2 linked regions of the Saccharomyces cerevisiae S288C genome follow. The gene in region 1 interacts genetically with each later gene. Each region holds a gene or a part of one and is shown on either strand. Other genes may lie near its edges. The genes, in order: HNT3 and NTG2.

What was found.
Region 2: mutations in HNT3 (region 1) and NTG2 impair growth when combined (synthetic growth defect), as found in Saccharomyces cerevisiae (one study listed by BioGRID).

The regions. Positions count from the first base shown.
Region 1 is NC_001147.6:809,897-815,058, reverse strand, and holds HNT3 (DNA 5'-adenosine monophosphate hydrolase), read right to left. Parts: upstream 3,389-5,162; coding exon 2,735-3,388; downstream 1-2,734. Other genes in the region: GCD1 (translation initiation factor eIF2B subunit gamma), read right to left, coding at 1-1,075; proteasome regulatory particle base subunit RPT4, read left to right, coding at 1,351-2,664; CDC31 (centrin), read right to left, coding at 3,566-4,051; TRE2 (putative zinc metalloprotease), read left to right, coding at 4,376-5,162. UniProt on the Saccharomyces cerevisiae protein: DNA-binding protein involved in single-strand DNA break repair, double-strand DNA break repair and base excision repair.
Region 2 is NC_001147.6:241,295-256,324, reverse strand, and holds NTG2 (bifunctional N-glycosylase/AP lyase NTG2), read left to right. Parts: upstream 1-6,790; coding exon 6,791-7,933; downstream 7,934-15,030. Other genes in the region: PRE6 (proteasome core particle subunit alpha 4), read right to left, coding at 224-988; YOL038C-A (uncharacterized protein), read left to right, coding at 1,304-1,399; ribosomal protein P2 RPP2A, read right to left, coding at 1,708-2,028; 40S ribosomal protein uS19 RPS15, read left to right, coding at 2,748-3,176; rRNA-processing protein NOP12, read left to right, coding at 3,679-5,058; NGL1 (RNA exonuclease), read right to left, coding at 5,409-6,500; PEX15 (Pex15p), read right to left, coding at 8,024-9,175; serine/threonine protein kinase PSK2, read right to left, coding at 9,523-12,828; LDS2 (Lds2p), read left to right, coding at 13,578-13,820, 13,884-14,711; RRT8 (Rrt8p), read left to right, coding at 15,015-15,030. UniProt on the Saccharomyces cerevisiae protein: Bifunctional DNA N-glycosylase with associated apurinic/apyrimidinic (AP) lyase function that catalyzes the first step in base excision repair (BER), the primary repair pathway for the repair of oxidative DNA damage.

The sequences.
Region 1 (5,162 bases):
ATTTATTACAGTTTATTGGGTCCAAGATGAGATCATTCTTTTTTTTGAAGTAGGTAGGCTGGATAGATGTAGCCGAAGGTTTGTAATCATCGTCATCATCATGATTGCGATCTTCATCATCATCAGTAGTAGGAGGGTTTTGCTGTTGTTGGTTTCCAGTAAATGGATCTTTGAATGAAGCTTGTCTTGACATTGATTGAGGTCCTAATTTTAACAACTGGCAAAGTTCAAAGGAACAAAAGTAGATGAATGAGTTCAGTAACTTAGTGGATACTGTTAAATTTGGATAGTTCCATAATAAATGAGATCTGATCTGTAGATATTTTGTCTTTGTGACGTCCCTTTGAGAATAAACGTCCAAAAGTATTGGCTGCCTCTCTGAGTCTTCGTTTTCTGAATAAACAGTGAAAAATTGCTGTTGTTTTTGCTTTTGCTGTTGCTTTTTATCGATACTACTATCTAAAGAGTTCTTATAGTAGATAGTCATTGCTAGGTTATTATCATCCCTATTCCTAAATTGATCGACCAAGACTTGTGGAGGTATATCTGTGACAAAATCACAGGGCAAGATTACAAAATCGCCATTGATTCTAGGCAAAAGCTCTTTTTGCAAGGACTCACCTGTAGAATTTGCCTTCGAAGGGATGAAATTAATTTTCTTAGGATCTTGCAAGTGATGACTGTGGTTGGAATTTGACAAAGCCTTGTATATTAGTTCAAATTGTTGCTTTCTTAGGGACAAAAACGAAGTCAGTCCACTTTCAATTAATTCGATTTCGTCAACGGGTGCGACCACACTGATTTCTTTGAAATCTGCCTGATCACACCAATCCAAGACGTATTCAATCATAGGTCTATTACCGATGGGCAAAAGAGCCTTGGGCAAGCGCGTTGAATGTTGCATGAACTCATTTATGACAGTTGAATCGAGGGCGCTATTGACCAACTCATTAAGTTTGTCACCGCTCGTGGCAGCTGTACTGTCTTTGTTCTGCGTTTGGAATGGAAAATCTGGCTGGGTGAAGGGAGCCAAATTGGAACCTTTACCGCAAAAGACAAAAGCCTGAATTGACATGACTACGACAATAGGGGGGGGAGCTATCAACGGTGGGAACTTTTGGTCAGCACAGCGTTCAGCATTTTCTGTTGCATCGTAAAGTGCTTGATTGTTATATTTCAATATAGTGATGAGAAGTGAAAAATTTTGCGATAGGCGGGTGACCTTTCAAATAGTGGAATTTGCCACCGAAGGGAAAGGAAGCTTGAAATACCATAGTGAAGTAAATTAAATCTAGTACCTCGCACCGGTTCCAAAGATAACAGACGAAGCAAAGATATTAATAACTAAGAATGAGTGAAGAACAGGACCCTTTATTAGCAGGATTGGGGGAAACGTCCGGCGACAATCACACCCAACAGTCACACGAACAACAACCAGAACAACCACAGGAAACGGAAGAACATCATGAAGAGGAGCCTTCTAGAGTGGATCCTGAACAGGAGGCCCATAACAAGGCCTTGAATCAATTCAAGAGAAAGCTGCTAGAACACAGAAGGTATGATGATCAATTGAAGCAGCGCCGTCAAAATATACGAGATCTAGAGAAGTTATATGACAAGACTGAAAACGACATAAAAGCTTTGCAAAGTATTGGACAATTGATTGGCGAAGTCATGAAGGAATTATCTGAAGAGAAATATATAGTGAAGGCCTCTTCGGGCCCACGTTATATTGTCGGAGTTAGGAATTCGGTAGATCGCTCTAAATTAAAGAAAGGGGTGAGAGTCACCTTAGATATCACCACTTTGACTATAATGAGAATTTTGCCCAGAGAGACAGATCCACTGGTGTATAATATGACCAGTTTTGAACAAGGTGAAATCACTTTTGATGGTATTGGTGGTTTGACTGAGCAAATCAGAGAATTAAGGGAGGTTATAGAATTACCATTGAAGAACCCAGAAATTTTCCAGAGGGTCGGTATCAAACCTCCAAAGGGTGTGCTACTATATGGTCCCCCTGGTACTGGTAAAACTTTACTAGCGAAGGCAGTTGCTGCTACGATTGGAGCCAACTTCATTTTCTCTCCAGCGTCTGGTATTGTGGATAAATACATTGGTGAGTCTGCTCGTATTATTAGAGAAATGTTTGCATATGCAAAGGAACACGAACCTTGCATCATTTTTATGGATGAAGTGGATGCTATTGGTGGTAGAAGATTCAGTGAAGGTACTTCAGCAGACCGTGAAATTCAACGTACGTTGATGGAGTTGTTGACCCAGATGGATGGTTTTGATAATCTTGGACAGACTAAAATCATCATGGCTACGAATAGACCAGATACTTTAGATCCTGCTTTGTTGAGGCCCGGTAGACTAGACAGGAAAGTTGAAATCCCATTGCCAAATGAGGCCGGCAGATTAGAAATTTTCAAAATTCATACTGCAAAAGTCAAAAAAACAGGGGAATTTGACTTCGAGGCTGCTGTAAAAATGAGTGATGGTTTCAATGGTGCTGATATTCGTAACTGTGCAACTGAAGCAGGTTTTTTCGCCATAAGAGATGACCGTGATCACATCAACCCTGATGATTTAATGAAAGCCGTAAGAAAAGTAGCTGAAGTTAAGAAATTGGAAGGCACTATAGAATACCAAAAATTATGATGTTAAAAAGACATGTGTATGTATAGGTATGTGTATATCAGTAACAAAAAGAAATGCGAGAAAGCTTGCCTTATTTAAGCTCGAAATGGCTATTGAACTCTAGTTCTAAATGCTTTTTCAATAAGCTAAATTTATTACTAAAATTTCGCTGACAATAGCAGCAAAGTAAATCGTGTTCTTTCAGGTACGTAGTTTCAATTTCCTTGTCAGTGCCCAAATTTTTTCCGTTCAATGGTAAATCGTCCCAACTAATGAAGAATCCAGTATTAAATGAATTATAATGTTTTTTGTTCTTCAATCTTACCGAATGGAAATCTTTGGATATGACGTGTATATGTAAGTTGGCCATCGAAGGCACGCTGTGTATCCCAACTTGTACAAAATTTCTTACAAACTTGTTTTTGTCTTTTAATATGTCATCCCAGCAGGGGTCTTTGTCATCATCACTCTTCTTTATTCGGAACTTTTCTTGAAAATGCCTAAAGATGTGGTCAATCGCAGAATTAACGTATGATTCAAACTCATTCTTAAACTTAGCATCAATCACTTTAGTAGGATGACTTCTACTCAGCTGCATAGTTCGTGGTAGAATCAATAAATGGCACTCTGATTTAGGAAACGAGTCTCTAATTATGGACACTTTATCATCAAAGTATGTGACTGTATCATCGTTTACCGTTTCTGGGCTGGTAACGTAGTTTTTTAACGCATACCTCCATGACATTTTTCAGTGTTTTGTTTTATTGTCTTCTCTTATTGTTGCCCTGCAGGATTAGATTGGCTTTTTCACTTTTAAGTGCATCCTTGGGCAAGATGTAAGTTAAAACAGAAAACGAGAGACCCACGGGAGTATACTAATATAGTTACAAATCATTTTTATAGATTAAATATATAGTCATAATTAACTATCGGTGCAAATAGCTATAAATTCGTTTTCATTAATCTCGCCATCACCATCCAAATCAAACTCTTCAATCATCGCTCTCAGCTCTTCATCCGTCAAAGTTTCTCCTAATTCTTTAGCTACACGCCTCAAGTTTTTAATACTTATTTTCCCAGTATGGTCGTCATCAAATAATTGGAATGCCCTTTTTATTTCATCTAACGGATCTCTCTTCAATATTTTTTCCCCCATTACAATATAAAAATCATCATACTTCATCAAATGCCGCCCCTCACTATCATATTCATCTATTAAGTCAAGTATTTCTCTCTTGGGTAGCTCAAATCCCAGGGCCTTCATTGCTACTTTCAACTCGTGGTAATCGAGGAACCCATCATTGTTCATATCGAACAATGAAAACGCCTCATATATTTCTTGCTTTTGCTCCTCCAATAACTCGCTATTAAGTGGACCAGACTGTAGCGATGACCTGTTCTTACTCATACTGTATGATTTATTTCCGTTTCTTCTTTGGTTCACTTCCTTTCTCGTTTAATAAATCTCTTCCATACTTACTAATTAGGATTCTTCTTTTTTTCTCTCTATTTCGCAATAGTTAAGCCTCCAAAACTCTTGGAAATTTAGTAGATAAAATTACGGCATCAGGCAAGAACTAGTTAAGCAAGTACTTCCTGCATCATTAAAGTTGTTCTTTTCCTAAACGCCTCTCAATACTAGAGAAATACATCAAGCTTTGGGTTATTTGAAATCTGTAACTAATTTGCAAACCAAGATAATACCCCCGGGTATTGAGATCAAGTAATTTTAATGAGGAGCAGTTATCAACCAGTGTCAACTACAAACTTTGAACATGAAAATGCTATACCTACTGCGTCGTCGTCCCATAATCTGTTGATGAGCCAGCGTTTTGATGATTCTCCTCCTAGTTCTAACGACAACAGTATAGAAACTAATATAACGCCTCCACCTGAACCACCTTCTTATGAATTTGATATAGAGGACCCTCACGATGATCTTCACAAAAGAACACATCTACAGAGGGTTTCAATTGGGTTTCAGGAAAAAATTTTGGAACCCTTAATGGAAAACATCATTCATCCACTCTTACAAATATCAAAATTCGTTCCAGACAAAGCTGACTATTACTTAAGTAAAATCGGAAATCCCTTTATACTTCGAAGGTTCTTTTACATCATTTTCATGTCATTTATTGCATATTATGTCTTGTCAAGTGGCTACTTATTCAACGAAAAGGCATCAGGATCTAAAGGGATGTTTTCTCAACACGATATACTTTTTGAATATGCCAAAAAATCCGTGGATTTGGCAAAGTTTGAGAGAGATTTGGAATATATTAGTAGCATGCCTCATGGATCCGGAACGAAGGGTGATGCAGCTATTTATCGATACATTCAGGAATCTTTTGACAACAATGGGTTGAAATTGGTTAAAGAAATGGGATACTCAGTTTATTCTAATTATCCAGGCAATGTATCAATTTCATATTATGATAACAAGAATGAAAAGCATGATCTAGAACTTTCTAAAGAAAATTTCAATCCGTTGAGTTCTAACGGGAAATTATCCAAAGTGA
Region 2 (15,030 bases), 560 kb from region 1:
ACTTTATGAGTGGGCAGTTTTTGAAGTCATTCCATTCCATTCTATATCAGCAAGTTTTCTTGGCGAGATCCGAAATCCGAAAAACATGAGATCGTATTAAATGATATAATGTAAGGCTCGTTAAAACATATATGAGCTAACTATACCGTGCTATGTTATATTTTGCATTTTTATTATTGCTGTTATTTTATATAGGTTTTATGCCCAATATATATCGCCGTTTTTAATGGTTAGATTTTTTCTTTTTGTCCTGCTCTTGCTGCTCTTGCTTTTCTTGTTCGATTTGGGTGACGTACTGGTTAATTTCCTCACTGCTCAACGCAACAATATCTGAGTCCGGCTTAACAACAGTGATTTCAATATTTTTTGCACCTGTTTGAACTACCTCCAACAGAGATCTTACAGTAAGTTTGACACATTCTTCCACTGTGGCTGGTGGTTCTTTGCGATCGTAATTCTTCTCCAAAAACTCACGTACCGTCTTGGAGTTTCTCCCAATGGTCTGAGCGGACCACGAAGAGTATATACCACTTGGCTCGGTCTGGTAAAGCTTGGGTTCATCATCTCTCGGGTCGAAGCCGGCAATCAGCGTCGACACACCAAATGGTCTAACACCTCCTGACTGCGTGTACCTTTGTTGCACACCAGCGACATAACGTGTGAGATACTCCACCGTCACGGGATCCTCCAACGTTAGTCTGTGACTTTGGGCCTCCACTCTAGCCTTCTCGATAAGAATTCTGGAATCTGCATTTAAACCAGAAAATGACAACACCACATGCGAGTCAATTTTGGAAACTTTGGAAGGCGTAATTCTAGTGTCTTGCAGCTTCAAAGTAGACCTTCTTTCGCAGCCCAATACTACACAATTCTTACCCTTGACACCTACAGCACAGGTACCCCTCTTTACCGCCTCCAGGGCGTACTCCACTTGGAAAATGTGTCCATCTGGGGAGAAAATGGACAAAGCTCTATCGTAACCACTCATTTTGTGTAATTGTGTTTATGCAACTGATCCTGATGAACTGCTGAGCACTAACTTGAAGGTTTTGCTACCACCTATATATGATGTCTTTTCTTTCCCTTCCGGTGGCAAAAGAATCTTCGAAAAGATTAAGAAATACCGTTGCCCGGATGATATTCTTACCCATAGTAATGGTCCTTAAAGCTTTAATCGTCAATGAACAAGGGCACACAGCACACTAGGTCTCAATTCATTTCCAAATATTCAAAGAAAGCGACGTGAGTATTTTATTTAAGTACTAGGTACGCAATTGATGGGATATTCAACTTATATGATTTGATGAAATACATGGGGTCCTTCCTGAGGAAAGCGGCTACAACAAATTTATTCAATAGCATAAAAAAAAGGAAGGTACAAAACAGAGCCATGTCATAGAGCAAAGAAAGAGCACACATAATATTCTAACCAGTAAAACAATCGGTTTGAATTTTGAAGATGAAGAAGTATATTTATATATAATTTCTTCCCTTTTTTTTTTATTTTTTTTTTGAAACAATGCATTAAACCATTACTTATATTATTTATATGTATAAATAGATATTAAATCATGGATTTAAACTTGAAAAGGATTAGGAAAAAAAGAGTATGGTCGCCGTAAAAAAGAGGAAAGGGTTTATTTTTGCGCCCTTCCCTCTATAACTTCCAAGATATGATATAACGAGATTGCACAAATTTACTCAACCTTAGTCGAATAAACCGAAACCCATGTCGTCGTCAGATTCTTCAGCGGCTTCTTCTTCCTTTTCTTCTTCAGCAGCAGCATCACCAGAGGCAGCAGCAGCACCGCCAGCAGAAGCTGGACCAGCAGCTGGAACAGCAGCCAACTTTTCGTTACCTTCAGTAATTAATTCGTCAACAGACTTACCTTCCAAAGCGGACAAAACGGAGGAAACCTTTTCGTCTTCGATTTCGATACCGACGGATTCCAAAATAGCCTTAATCTTGGTGGCATCTGGGGTGTTACCAGCAGCGTTCAATAATAGGTAAGCAGCTAAGTACTTCATTTTTGTATGATTGGTTCTGTTGTTGTGTATGAATTTCCAATGAGAAAAAAATCACTAAAATAATAGAAAAAGCTTTTGAATAAACGGAAGTAGAAATTACCAGAAGTAACAATTGAAAAACCTCGAATAATAACGGCTCTCCGCTACTAGGTTAACTAAACTTCAAGCGGGTATCAACGCTTTGGAGTTCCATGCAAAATGTTTCACGTTTCGCGCGTCTTCCGCATATCGTCCGGTATAGTCTCTCCCCTGGTATTCCCCTCGGCTGCCATGAGTTACAGCCTCAAAACAGGTACAAAACTTTTTTAATCCGTACACCGCGCGTATAAATCAATGTTATGTCTGGGCGTATAGTCCCGGAAACCGTGTTGGGCGGCAGTTCCGCCCAACACGGGCCTAGACACTTAGAGGGAGCGTCCTCCTAGAACCGATTTTCGTTTCTCTTTGGAAGGTCTCTTCCGTCCGTTTCACTCGGAGTAGGTTCTCTGAGAAACTCCTTGCTGGGAAGCTGCGAGACAACACCGTAATCGTCTGCTTGGCCCTTCCTATCCGCAATCAATTTATTCCTTTTTAATCTTTTGTGCAGAGTTTCACATTATGGTATGGTCTCTTCTTTTATTTGTTCTTGGATTTCATTTTTTTCTTATTTGTTAGTGCTTATCCTTACATTGTAGAATAAGACGAACTAGAAGTACACAACAAGATAATCACGACCGATCATGTCTCAAGCTGTTAATGCCAAGAAGAGAGTTTTTAAGACCCACTCTTACAGAGGTGTCGATTTGGAAAAATTGTTGGAAATGTCCACTGAAGATTTCGTCAAGTTGGCCCCAGCTAGAGTTAGAAGAAGATTTGCCCGTGGTATGACTTCCAAGCCAGCCGGTTTCATGAAGAAGTTGAGAGCTGCCAAGTTGGCTGCCCCAGAAAATGAAAAGCCAGCTCCAGTCAGAACCCACATGAGAAACATGATCATTGTTCCAGAAATGATCGGTTCCGTCGTCGGTATCTACAACGGTAAGGCTTTCAACCAAGTTGAAATCAGACCAGAAATGTTGGGTCACTATTTGGGTGAATTCTCCATTACTTACACCCCAGTCAGACATGGTAGAGCCGGTGCTACTACTTCCCGTTTCATCCCATTGAAATAAGCTCCCTAATAACAGAATCGCAGTCATCCTTGTATCTTTTTTATATATAATGTCTAGGTATTAGGAAAATAAAATTTTTGTTTATTGGTATTATTATTATAATCTATTATATTATATTTGTTTAATTTCTTTTATGAAGTGAATGGGGGTTGTACACGGAAAGCAACAATAGCACTTGTTTCCGCAGACAGCTTTTAAATTGCCTTCCATCATTACTGTAAATGTTCGTCCTCATATATGATATATATTGTAAGCGGACGTGAAACCTCAACTCAAGTGCTTCATTTACTGTCACGGACTACTTTCATCAACTTTCTATTTTCTTTGATATATTGATCACTTAAAACGAACTTCGAAATTTTTTCAAGCTCATCGCAATTTTTTTTTGCTTGTCTAAATTTTAAACTGTTATATTGAAGGTAGATAGCTTGAGGCACTTTATTAAGAAAACAGTCGACATATCATCCACCAGATTATCACGCTATAAATTTTAAAGTGAAAAATGTCCTCTGCAATTGACAATCTCTTTGGTAACATTGATGAGAAAAAAATAGAATCTTCAGTAGATAAGCTATTTAGTTCATCCTGTGGACCTATTAATAAATTGGAAGTCAAAAGCAAAACACGTACTGTCCTTCCTGATTCGAAGAAAAGGGAAAGAGCTGCCGAAGCTGATCAAGAAGAAAAAGAAGCAAGCAAACCTGATGTTTCAGATGAGCAAACTGAAGAAGTTGCCCTTCCAAAAGTAAAGAAGGCCAAAAAAAGTAAAAGGAATGACGAGGATGAAGACTTAGAAGCCCGCTATTATGCGAAACTACTAAATGAAGAAGCTGAGGCTGAGGATGATAAACCAACAGTAACGAAAACTGATGAAACTTCAGTACCACTGACATCAGCAGCTAAGAAAGTTGATTTCAAAGAAGACGAGTTAGAAAAGGCAGAAAGAACTGTTTTCATTGGTAACATCTTAAGTACTGTCATCACATCTAAAAAGGTTTATAAAGAATTCAAAAAACTTTTTGGTACAAATCCGATAGCAGAAACTGAGGAATCTGGTAATGAAAAAGAAGAGGAAAGTTCTAAGAAAAGTGACAATAACGAATTTGCCATTGAAAGCATAAGATTCAGATCTATTTCCTTTGATGAAGCTCTTCCTAGAAAAGTTGCGTTTGTCCAACAAAAATTTCATAAGTCAAGGGATACAATAAACGCTTACATCGTCTATAAGAATAAGTCTGCTGTAAGAAAAATCTGCTCGAATTTGAATGCTGTCGTTTTCCAAGATCATCACTTAAGAGTTGATTCAGTTGCTCATCCAGCTCCGCATGATAAGAAGCGTTCAATCTTTGTAGGTAACTTGGATTTTGAAGAAATAGAAGAAAGTCTTTGGAAACATTTTGAACCATGTGGCGATATTGAATATGTCCGTATTATCAGAGATTCAAAGACAAATATGGGTAAGGGATTTGCTTATGTTCAATTTAAAGATTTACAAAGTGTAAACAAAGCACTTTTATTGAACGAAAAGCCTATGAAGTCACAAAAACAAGAAGACGAAAATACAAAGAAACCAACTAAAAAGGCAAGAAAATTGCGTGTTTCCAGATGTAAGAACATGAAGAAGGGTACTACTATTGGGACCGGCTTGGATAGAAATGGGTTGACAGATTCACAAAGAACCAGAGCAGGTAGAGCTAAAAAGATTTTAGGTAAGGCTGATAGAGCCACTTTGGGCCAAGAGATAACTATCGAAGGTTTAAGAGCAAAGAAAGGCGAAGGTTCCACCCATCTAAAAAAGAAGAAACAAAGATCCGCTACAGGTAGGGTTACCAAAAGATCGATAGCATTCAAGAAAGCTCAAGCTGAAAAGAGCAAGAAATAGTTTCATTAGTTTTCACACAATATCAATTTTGTTAGAGATACACTGTATATTATTACTAGTTATTTCTTATCTCTTGTAGCTTCCTCTATACATGCTGGCATTTTTTTACATAGTTCTAATAGTATAATATACATATAAAAAAGAAAAATCATGCGTTTTATATATTTCTATAAATACATTCATACCCAAATTATGGAACACGTTCGGAATATTACTTAAAGAATACTGCAATAATGGAAAGAATATTTGAAATGAATAAAAAGTATGATAACAAGGTTATAAGAGAGGTACAAATAAAATAAAACAAGGAATGAAGAAAAAAAGCACAAAAAAGGCAAGATAGTAATGCCTCACAGTATTTTGAATTCTGTTAGTAGAGGTATATGATCACTAGGATGGTTTTCATTGGGTAAACCCAACTGATTAGACGCTAGCAATTCGTCTGATACTTCATTACCGGTTAGGATCTTAGTTAGTAAAAAATCTGAATCATGGTACCATACGTAATCAAAGATGCCCTTCAATTTTCCTGAATAGCACGTATGTACAAAATAATCCTTTGGTATATCGTCATAGACACAACGATCCAAATACGGCCTCATTGGGTTAATAAGATTAAGGTCTCCATGGCTAACTATCTGACCTTGCAGAAAATTAACAACTAGCGAATCTCTTGTAGAATTTAGATCACCAGTGAATAAAATCTTCACCCTTTCTTGGCCTTTTACATCTCCCGGTAGGAGCTGCTTAATGATCTTTGATAACTCTCTCATTATAATCATGCATTGTGTTAGCTTAACTTCGTCATATTTCCAATACAAATGAGTATTTAAAACGACAAAAATAGTACCCGTCTCCTTATGTCTTAGAGATACGAATAAGCATACCTGATTCTTGCCTTTTAAAACATCCAATAAGCTGTCTTCACCAATAACATTGGAAGCACCATCGGTTAATGTTACCTTCTTATTGTATAAGTATTTCAGTTCCCTTTGATTGAAAACATTCAGTAGCTGGTTTAAGTAGATCCCTGATGACGATATAAAGTCAAATTTTGCAAGATTATAGAAAATAGATACACCGTCCATATCTTTAACCGGTTTTTTCCAATACTTTGGGGGTGTCTTGGAAATGAATTTGGACCCATAATTGACATCTACCCCTATGGAATCGTGCCAATAATCTTCATAATCTCTTGCGGTCATTTCTTGGAGACACATAATATCAGCCTTGAAAGTATTCAAAAGTTCTTTCTCCAGCAGTCTGTGCCTATAACTCCAGTTTTTGTATGGCTCTGCAACGTATGTGTATACCTGTGGCCACATATATGACGGTGAGAGCATGTTGTATGTTAATAAAGTGAACCTAGCATCTTTTCGCACATATTTACCGATGTTTTGCTTAGTTGACTGAACAACTGGAATAAACCTTCGAGTAAACATTGTTACTTGTATGAGCAGTAAATCTCTCTCCAATGTTCTTTTTTGCCGTTATCCAGCTTAGTTTGTGTAGATCTCCTTTCTTCTCTAACAGGAACAATTAAACAACTCATGGTTAATTTGTTAGTTTTGTTGCCGAGAAATCAAAATCAGCTGGTGAAGCAGTTATCCTAACTTGGGAATATACATGTAGTAGAAAGGAAGGAAGGCAAGGACCTCTTTAGCATTTTGAATCTGTTGCTTATTGGGAGCACACAAAAAATGTATAAGCACAACGTCTTTCACAGTATATAATGAGAGAGGAAAGTAGGTCTAGGAAGAGAAAGCATATTCCTGTTGATATTGAAGAGGTAGAAGTTCGATCTAAGTATTTCAAAAAGAATGAGAGAACTGTTGAGTTAGTAAAAGAAAATAAAATCAATAAAGATTTGCAAAATTACGGCGGAGTAAATATTGACTGGATCAAGGCACTGAAGCCAATAGAGTATTTTGAATGGATCGAATCAAGGACTTGTGATGATCCGAGAACTTGGGGACGGCCAATAACTAAAGAAGAAATGATTAACGATTCTGGGGCGAAAGTTCCTGAGAGTTTCTTACCCATATATAATCGGGTGAGATTAATGAGGTCCAAGGTTAAAACCCCGGTAGATGCTATGGGATGTAGCATGATTCCTGTTTTAGTTTCTAATAAATGTGGGATACCTAGTGAAAAAGTCGATCCAAAGAATTTCAGGCTTCAATTTCTTATTGGCACTATGCTTTCTGCTCAAACGAGGGACGAAAGGATGGCGCAAGCGGCTTTGAATATCACCGAATACTGCTTAAACACATTAAAAATAGCAGAGGGTATTACGCTAGATGGACTGCTTAAAATTGATGAACCTGTATTAGCAAATCTAATTCGATGCGTTAGCTTCTATACCAGAAAAGCCAATTTCATCAAAAGAACCGCACAATTATTGGTAGACAATTTCGATTCAGATATACCGTATGATATAGAGGGAATTCTCTCGTTACCTGGAGTTGGACCTAAAATGGGATATTTAACACTGCAAAAAGGTTGGGGGCTGATTGCCGGCATATGCGTCGATGTTCATGTCCATAGGCTGTGTAAAATGTGGAATTGGGTAGACCCTATTAAGTGTAAGACTGCCGAGCATACTAGAAAGGAGTTACAGGTTTGGCTACCTCACTCACTGTGGTACGAAATAAACACCGTTTTGGTTGGATTTGGTCAATTGATCTGCATGGCCAGGGGTAAGAGGTGTGATTTATGTCTAGCAAACGATGTCTGCAATGCTCGCAATGAGAAGCTAATCGAATCTTCCAAATTTCATCAATTGGAGGACAAAGAAGACATCGAGAAAGTATATTCGCATTGGTTGGACACGGTTACAAATGGAATTACAACAGAAAGACACAAGAAAAAATAGAACCACCATTCATTGTGGAAAAAGATGAAAAACCATTATGTATGTCATTAAAATAAGTAGGTAGGGTTTTATAAACTATTCAAATATTTCTCATATACTCGCTAGAAGTTTTAGCAACCCTACAATCTGGGGGTATACAGTGTGAAAGGCCGCTGGAACATGTTTGAAAATTGCCATCAATGACTTATATTTTTTCAAACATAAGAGTAGCAGCAGACCTGTGAGCAGAAGTCCGTTTTTGTTCAGCACACTTCTTGTGAAATGATGCTTCAGGACAGCCCAAAATGAACCAGCCAGAACAGTAATATCATTGTTTTTTTTACGGGGCGCCGTTCCAGTACTCTGGAGTCTACTATCAGTAGAGGTGCGTTGATTAAACGCATCCTCAACCTTAACCTGTTCTTCACTACTATTGTGTAACATAGGCTCGTGAAAATGGTGTATTTTCTGTTTCACTCCTCTTTGTTTACCTTTAGACTTCGCCTTATCTTTTTGTATTTTATTATCTATTGAGTTCAGAATAGCATCCTCTATGGAAACATCTTTAGATAAGTAAAGGCCCTTTAGGGTTGGAGATAACTTAGGTAATGTTTTGCAAAGCGCCCAATACATATTCGGTGAGGGTTTTTTATGATGCAGTTTTACCTTCACCTGAAAGATGAATATCTCGATTAATTCTTGTAAGCCAACTACATCTATAGTTGTCCTCATTTTCGTTATGTATACGAAAATGAAATCACTCATTATGGATTCAAGCTCCAGAGTTTTTTCTTCTTGTTCGGTGTGATCAGTTAAGTTAAACTGAATAACCTTGATACAGCATCGAAAGAATTTATTGATGACCAAAAGTTTACTGAGGTCACCGAGAATAATTTTTCTTGTCTCAATACATTGAGGGGTATCTAACGTGAAAATATTCAAAATCTCACTCTGCAGTGTTAAACCTAATTTGGTAAAGCTGGGCATAATATCACAGGCGCTGACAAATAAATCTAATATCATAGGGTTGGACTTGAAAACGGTAATATCAATAAATCCAACCTCAGACATTTTTTCTAGGCAATCCTTGATATCTCTTTTTATGAAAAGGTTCACACATTCTTGAAATACTTCACTCCTCTGATCATTTACCGACTTGGTCGATTCATCACTTTCAATGAATAAGTCATCGTTAAGTAAATCCCTTAGAGAAGAATCGAGGGAATGCATAGGCAGATTGTTCATTATCTCACTTGCAGCCATTATTCACAGAACCCTCTTGTATAAACCACACCGTAGTACGTTCTGCTAGTGCCTCTTTCTGTTTACCTAACTATTTCTCTTGCCTAAATATGTAAGTCTACGATGACTTTTCTATGGTACTTGATGTCACTCCGACGGCGATAAGCCGCTCAGCGCAGAAGTTTGCCCCAAAATAGAATGAAAGAAAATACTGCATAGAGGCTGGACAAGAAGGATATAGAGCAATGATATGATATTAAAAATGTAATTAATATATAGCCAAAAAAAGAATAGAACATTTATGAAGGTAAATGGTTATGAAAATGGATTAAATTATTCTTTCCCTTTATCTTGGAGAGTACGGAAAACTAGATTTTAAGCCATTTATCTTCATATATTTCATCAATAGTAGGTCTTTTATCAACTTCTCTTGTCAAAATTCTTTTTATCAAACTGATGCATTCTTCACTGACATGTTCCGATTTATCGAACCTTAATTCACCTTCCAAGATTTCATCAATGTTGTAATAAGGATTCTCTTTATAAATTATGGTATAAAGTAGCACACCAAGAGCCCAAATATCTTGTGGTTTACCTTTGTAAGAGGAACCACCAAGGACTTCAGGTGCAGCATAGTCCATTGTTCCCACAAAAACATCGAATGGTCCACTCTTGATATAGGCAGCCGAACCGAAATCGATTAATTTTACAAAGCCATGAGAATCAACAATAACATTTTCGTCCTTTATGTCTCTATGAACAATTCCTTGGTCATGTAAATGCTTTATACTAGCGACTACCTGTTTAAACACCAGTTTAGCTTCATGTTCAACCATATCTTTTTTGAATTCGATAACATCAAATAGATCAATACTACCAGTTTCTCCATGGACCGGTGTTTCAATGTAATAATAATCGTCATCTTCAAAAAAATCTAATAACTTCAAGATATTTTCTTGGGAATTTTTATTCAAGGTCGCCATAATTTGGATCTCAGAAGGTATAGTACCTAATTTTCTATCTCTCACCCATGTGTCTACTAAAATCCTCTCTTTGAAAATCATTTTGATGACCACGATATAGTGTTCTCTGTTATGAATGCATAAATTGACTTTACCGTACGCACCCTCACCCATCACTTGCAGAATAGTAAAATCAGAAAATTTCTTTATGCGCTTTTGTGAGCCTATATTAGCCTCTGGAGTAGTCAAGTACGTAGCTTTTAAAGTAGAATTTCTTTTGTCTAGCTCATTTGTTTCCTTTTTGATTTCTTCTCCGTTTATCGGTTCAATTATCCTCATTATAAATTTTTCATCCACTTTAAAGTTGTCGTCCTTTACAAATTTTGATTTGTCCTGCGTGTACATTTTCGTTAATTCAATTTTATGTTTTAACTCAGGATCATCAACCATTGTCATGTCATCGTCATAGTTATTGTTGTCATTAGATTCGATACCTCTCACTTTACCGCAAGAAGTTTCTCGTAGTTTTTCATTCACTTGATTTAAGTCTACTTCATCGTCTGAATTAGAAATCGTTTCAGCGGAGCTAATCGACAGATCAGCCATTGCCTTCAAAGTATTCACAGGAATTTTTTCCGAAGATTTCTTGGAAGATGCACTGGAACTACCTCTACTGCCAACGACATCAATTTCGTTCTCCTTTAACATCGGTAGCTGCGAAGGAACGGTGGTATAATTTTCAATGACCACGTCTCTTGAGTGTGTAATCCATAATAATACAGCATTCGTATTCAAGACCCGTAATTGAACATCCACCTTTATCAAATTACCATCTTTGTGACAGCCGTCTAGACCAATAGAAGTGTAAAACGAGTCCTTATCATGATGCATTTCAGCCTCAATTTTTCTGAAAAAATGTTCTGTTAAAACCAATCCTTTATTTTCTGGTAATGTGATATTTAACATAGGATAAGTTTTATTGATATAAGATATCATGTCCGCCAAAGAAGGAACCAACTTAGTAACCGAACTACCGGCCAACTCGTGAAGTCGCAAGCCAAACATGTTTTTGGCGACTGATTTGTTGAAACTTAAAAGACTTAAAGTGTGACTGTCAACAATAAATAGCCCAGCCTGATAGGGCAAACTATGAATTTTTAATTTTATTTCGTTTTCCAATACGGAAGTTGTAACAGCACATGGTATATTTTCAGATAGACAATTCAACGTAAAATATCTCTCTTCGTTGACATGATTTGCCACCCTGATAGACAAGGGTAATAAATCATCATCTGCAGAAAACACTTTTCCAAAACGTACATCATCAATTAGTTTACTCAGTGAGTGACTTACTGACCCAATATCGTGAATTTCATTTGCAAATTTTACCGTTTTCTTTTCTGTCATTGGCGAAGTTGATTCTTGCTGCTTTTTCTTGTCAAAGTTTTCCAGAAAGTGTGTTGTATCAATAATGCTGTCCACTGAAAAATCTCTCAAGTTTAACATGACGTCAATGTAATCGCAAGGCGTTTTTTCAAATACGCAGACCAGTAGGCCATTCTTCCGCTTGGCCCATAGTGAAGCCCAAATCAGATTTGGTACATTATTATTGCTTGTCGAATTTGGCTGGACGATAGGTATAGTTTCTCCGGTAAACACAATTTCTTGGTTATCATCTTCTGCATTCATGATTTTCTCTAGAACAAAATTTCTGCTATCCGTATGAATAAGGTCTAGTAAAGTAAGTGCCTTGATAACATTCTTTGATATACCGAACGTTAGACACGCCAAATCATTGGCAGCTTTGAAGTTCCAGGGGTATTGTTGAGAACATGTAAAAATGGCCTCTGGACCAGAATTTTTTGCAGATGTGAAAGGATGAAGAATTCGGCTATAGTCCTGTTGTGGTTTGATGTCTGCTAAGGAGACTATATCATCGTGTTTCTCCTCATATTCATTATATTGCGATTTCGAACCTAAATCTTTGTGAGGGAACTTCTTGTAGTTTTCAAAAAATGGTTCTGCTAAACTATCTAATAAAACCTTTTTCAAAGTTTCTGATTTTTGAATGTCTGAATCAAAGTTTATTTTCTTGATATTCAATAACGATAGCATGTGTAAATCGGAAGCTCTTTCGAAGGAATTGTTTTCCAATGCTAAATTTAGCAAGAATAACAAGTTTTCTAACTCGGACTTGGCTGGATTCAGTTTACTGGCAGTATCATTATCAGGCAACACCATTAAGGACGTTGCTCTCTGTATCACGGGTCTACTAGCAGGAGATGGCATATTGGATACTAATGGTGAAATTAGAGACCCATTTAACGGATCTCGCGATGCTGATAACGTGGCAGTCTCTGTTAAGTTTCTTGTGTGTCTAAGTGAGGGGGGGTATGCTATTACGGGTGCTTTTTTCTTCAACTCATGTAAGATGTCAGGACTGTTTACCATTATTTCCAAAGACCTTCTTAAGATGGTCAACCTTACTCCCAGTGAGTTTGGTGATATGGGATTATACGAAAATGCATGCGGCGACTCATTAGGTACAGCAACAAGGTCCGAACGATCATCATCACTGAATGTTGACGAAAACGAATCGACGGACGAGGAAGCGTGTTGGTACAAGCATGGAGGTTTAGAGAGCCCTACCAACGGGGTATTTTTAGAATATGAAATGTCGGCAGGAGCGGCTGCACTAACCGGGTATGTCATTGTGTTCTTTGTTTATGATTCTTTACTTTAATCTAGCAGGGCAGAGGAGTAACAATAAAACGCCCTGCAAAGAAGTATGATTACTGTTCTTGCCAGACTTAGAATTCTAAGTGTTAAAAGTCACCAATAAGGAAGGAAAAAAGTTTATGATAGTTTATACTGTTGTTGTTACTACCTGCTCCGTTATGTTTCTAACAAGGAATAAAACAGGGTATAGACGTGATGTCAGCTTAAAGAGGAAAACGAAATATGTAAACTTTGTTAAAAATAAACAGGGCCCCTTATTGATCGTTCGCGATGCTATTATTTTATAAGCCAGCCTTTATCGTTTCTTTTGATCTTGTTTCTTTTTCTTGTTTTTTTTTTTAACTTCGTTCTCTTTTCACGTACTGATTACTCACACCAGGAGAAAGAAGTTGAAAAATGCTGTTATTCTCTGGAACACGCTATTAGATAGTACTTGCTGGTTCCGTAGACAAACAGCTCTTGCGCTTTATCACTTCGACAAGTGTCTTTACAGCTTCGCGATGACATATCGTCTCTTGCCCCTGCCCCACCTGTAACAATAGCTTGGCCAAAAAAGAAAAAAATGTTCCGACGAATTTTTCCGCTGATTTTGGCTGATCGCGTCGCGCCACAAAAACGAAACTTCCATAATAAAACATTATATAAAGCTTTTTATTATTATTATTATTACTTTCTTAGTTATAGCATTAGAACTATAAGAGCTGCTAAGACACCAAGCAAACATGTCGACTAGACCCCAACCTGATTGGTATTACCATAGACATCCATATGCCTCTACGCCACTGGCAGAAGGGGAGGAACCACAATTACTCCCCATCCAAGACCAAGGGAACCATAAGAAATCAAAAATTTGGATGGCATACAAGGCTCCGATAGTTCGATGGTACAAGAATGCTATGCTTGTTAAAGACAATTTTTGGAAAGACCTAGAGTCGTCGCACCAGATCATCTGGTATCCGTATAAAGTATGTTGATGTTCCAATAAGCAGATCATGTTTTTTAAGCCGTCATACTAACCGCCTTTGAAGGGAATTAGCGAATCCGTGGGAAACTCGGATTATTTGCATCTATTTTTCCTAATATTTGGATACTACCTGCTGAATCTCCTGCTTATTGTTGCGTTTACGTCAATCCTTGCGTGGTCCTTGTTAGTGTGCATCTATTTGCCCTTTCTCGGACTCTTTGCGTTACCTCTGGCTTATATGCAAACTATTCTGATTTCCACAACGCTATGTAATTCTATGGTGAAGGGTACCGATTTCGTTCTTTTCACACGTATTTATGGAGTGACGTTCGCAAGAAAGGGATTAACAGAGTTGAGTGAAGCCTGTGAAACGATAAGTTTCACGCCCTTTGTCTACAGAAGGTCACATCGTTTGGGTGGCCTCTTTTCGAAACGGTTTTACCTCGTCTCTTTGCCGCAGTTTTTCATTTTTTTCTTCTGGTACATCTTCATAGCCTTTATGTTTCTTTTATTGTTGCTCGTTCCAATAGTGGGTCCAATTACAATCAATATGCTACCATTTAGCCCCGGAATGGGATTTTACTATTTTGAGCCTTATTTTGTTGACGTGCTACATTTGGATTCGCGCAAACTTTCCAAAGTTTACTACAAGGGCTTTGCCAAGTGGCTCCTTTACTCGATATCCAGCGGTTTATTAGAGTCTATTCCCATTCTGGGTGGGTTGTTCATTGGAACAAACGCAGTAGGTGCTTCGCTTTGGATAGTTAAAGAGATAAAAGACCGGGACCAGCCAGCCGTACCTCCTTCCCCTCCTGCGGAACCAGAAGAGCCTACTGTAGGATCCTATGCACCTCCAATCCAACAATCTATAGCTCACATTAATCCGCCATGAAGCTCGCAACTCTTTTACATACCAATTTATATATTCATTATATGTTTACATATATAAATATATATATATACTATATACTATATATTACTTGCTAATAATATTCGTTTCTTTTCAACATTTGTATATGCATAAAAAATTTGGGAAATCAGGGGACTTATGAAAATCAGGGTGGTTACACTCGGAACTTCAAAACCTAAATAAAGTAAATCACTTTCAAGAAAGGTGAAGGGACGTCAAAAAAAGGAAAAAAAGGGCAAGGTATATCCCTGAGGACCCCTGGTTGGCTGTAAAGACAAACTAAGGATGAAAGCCGGAATTG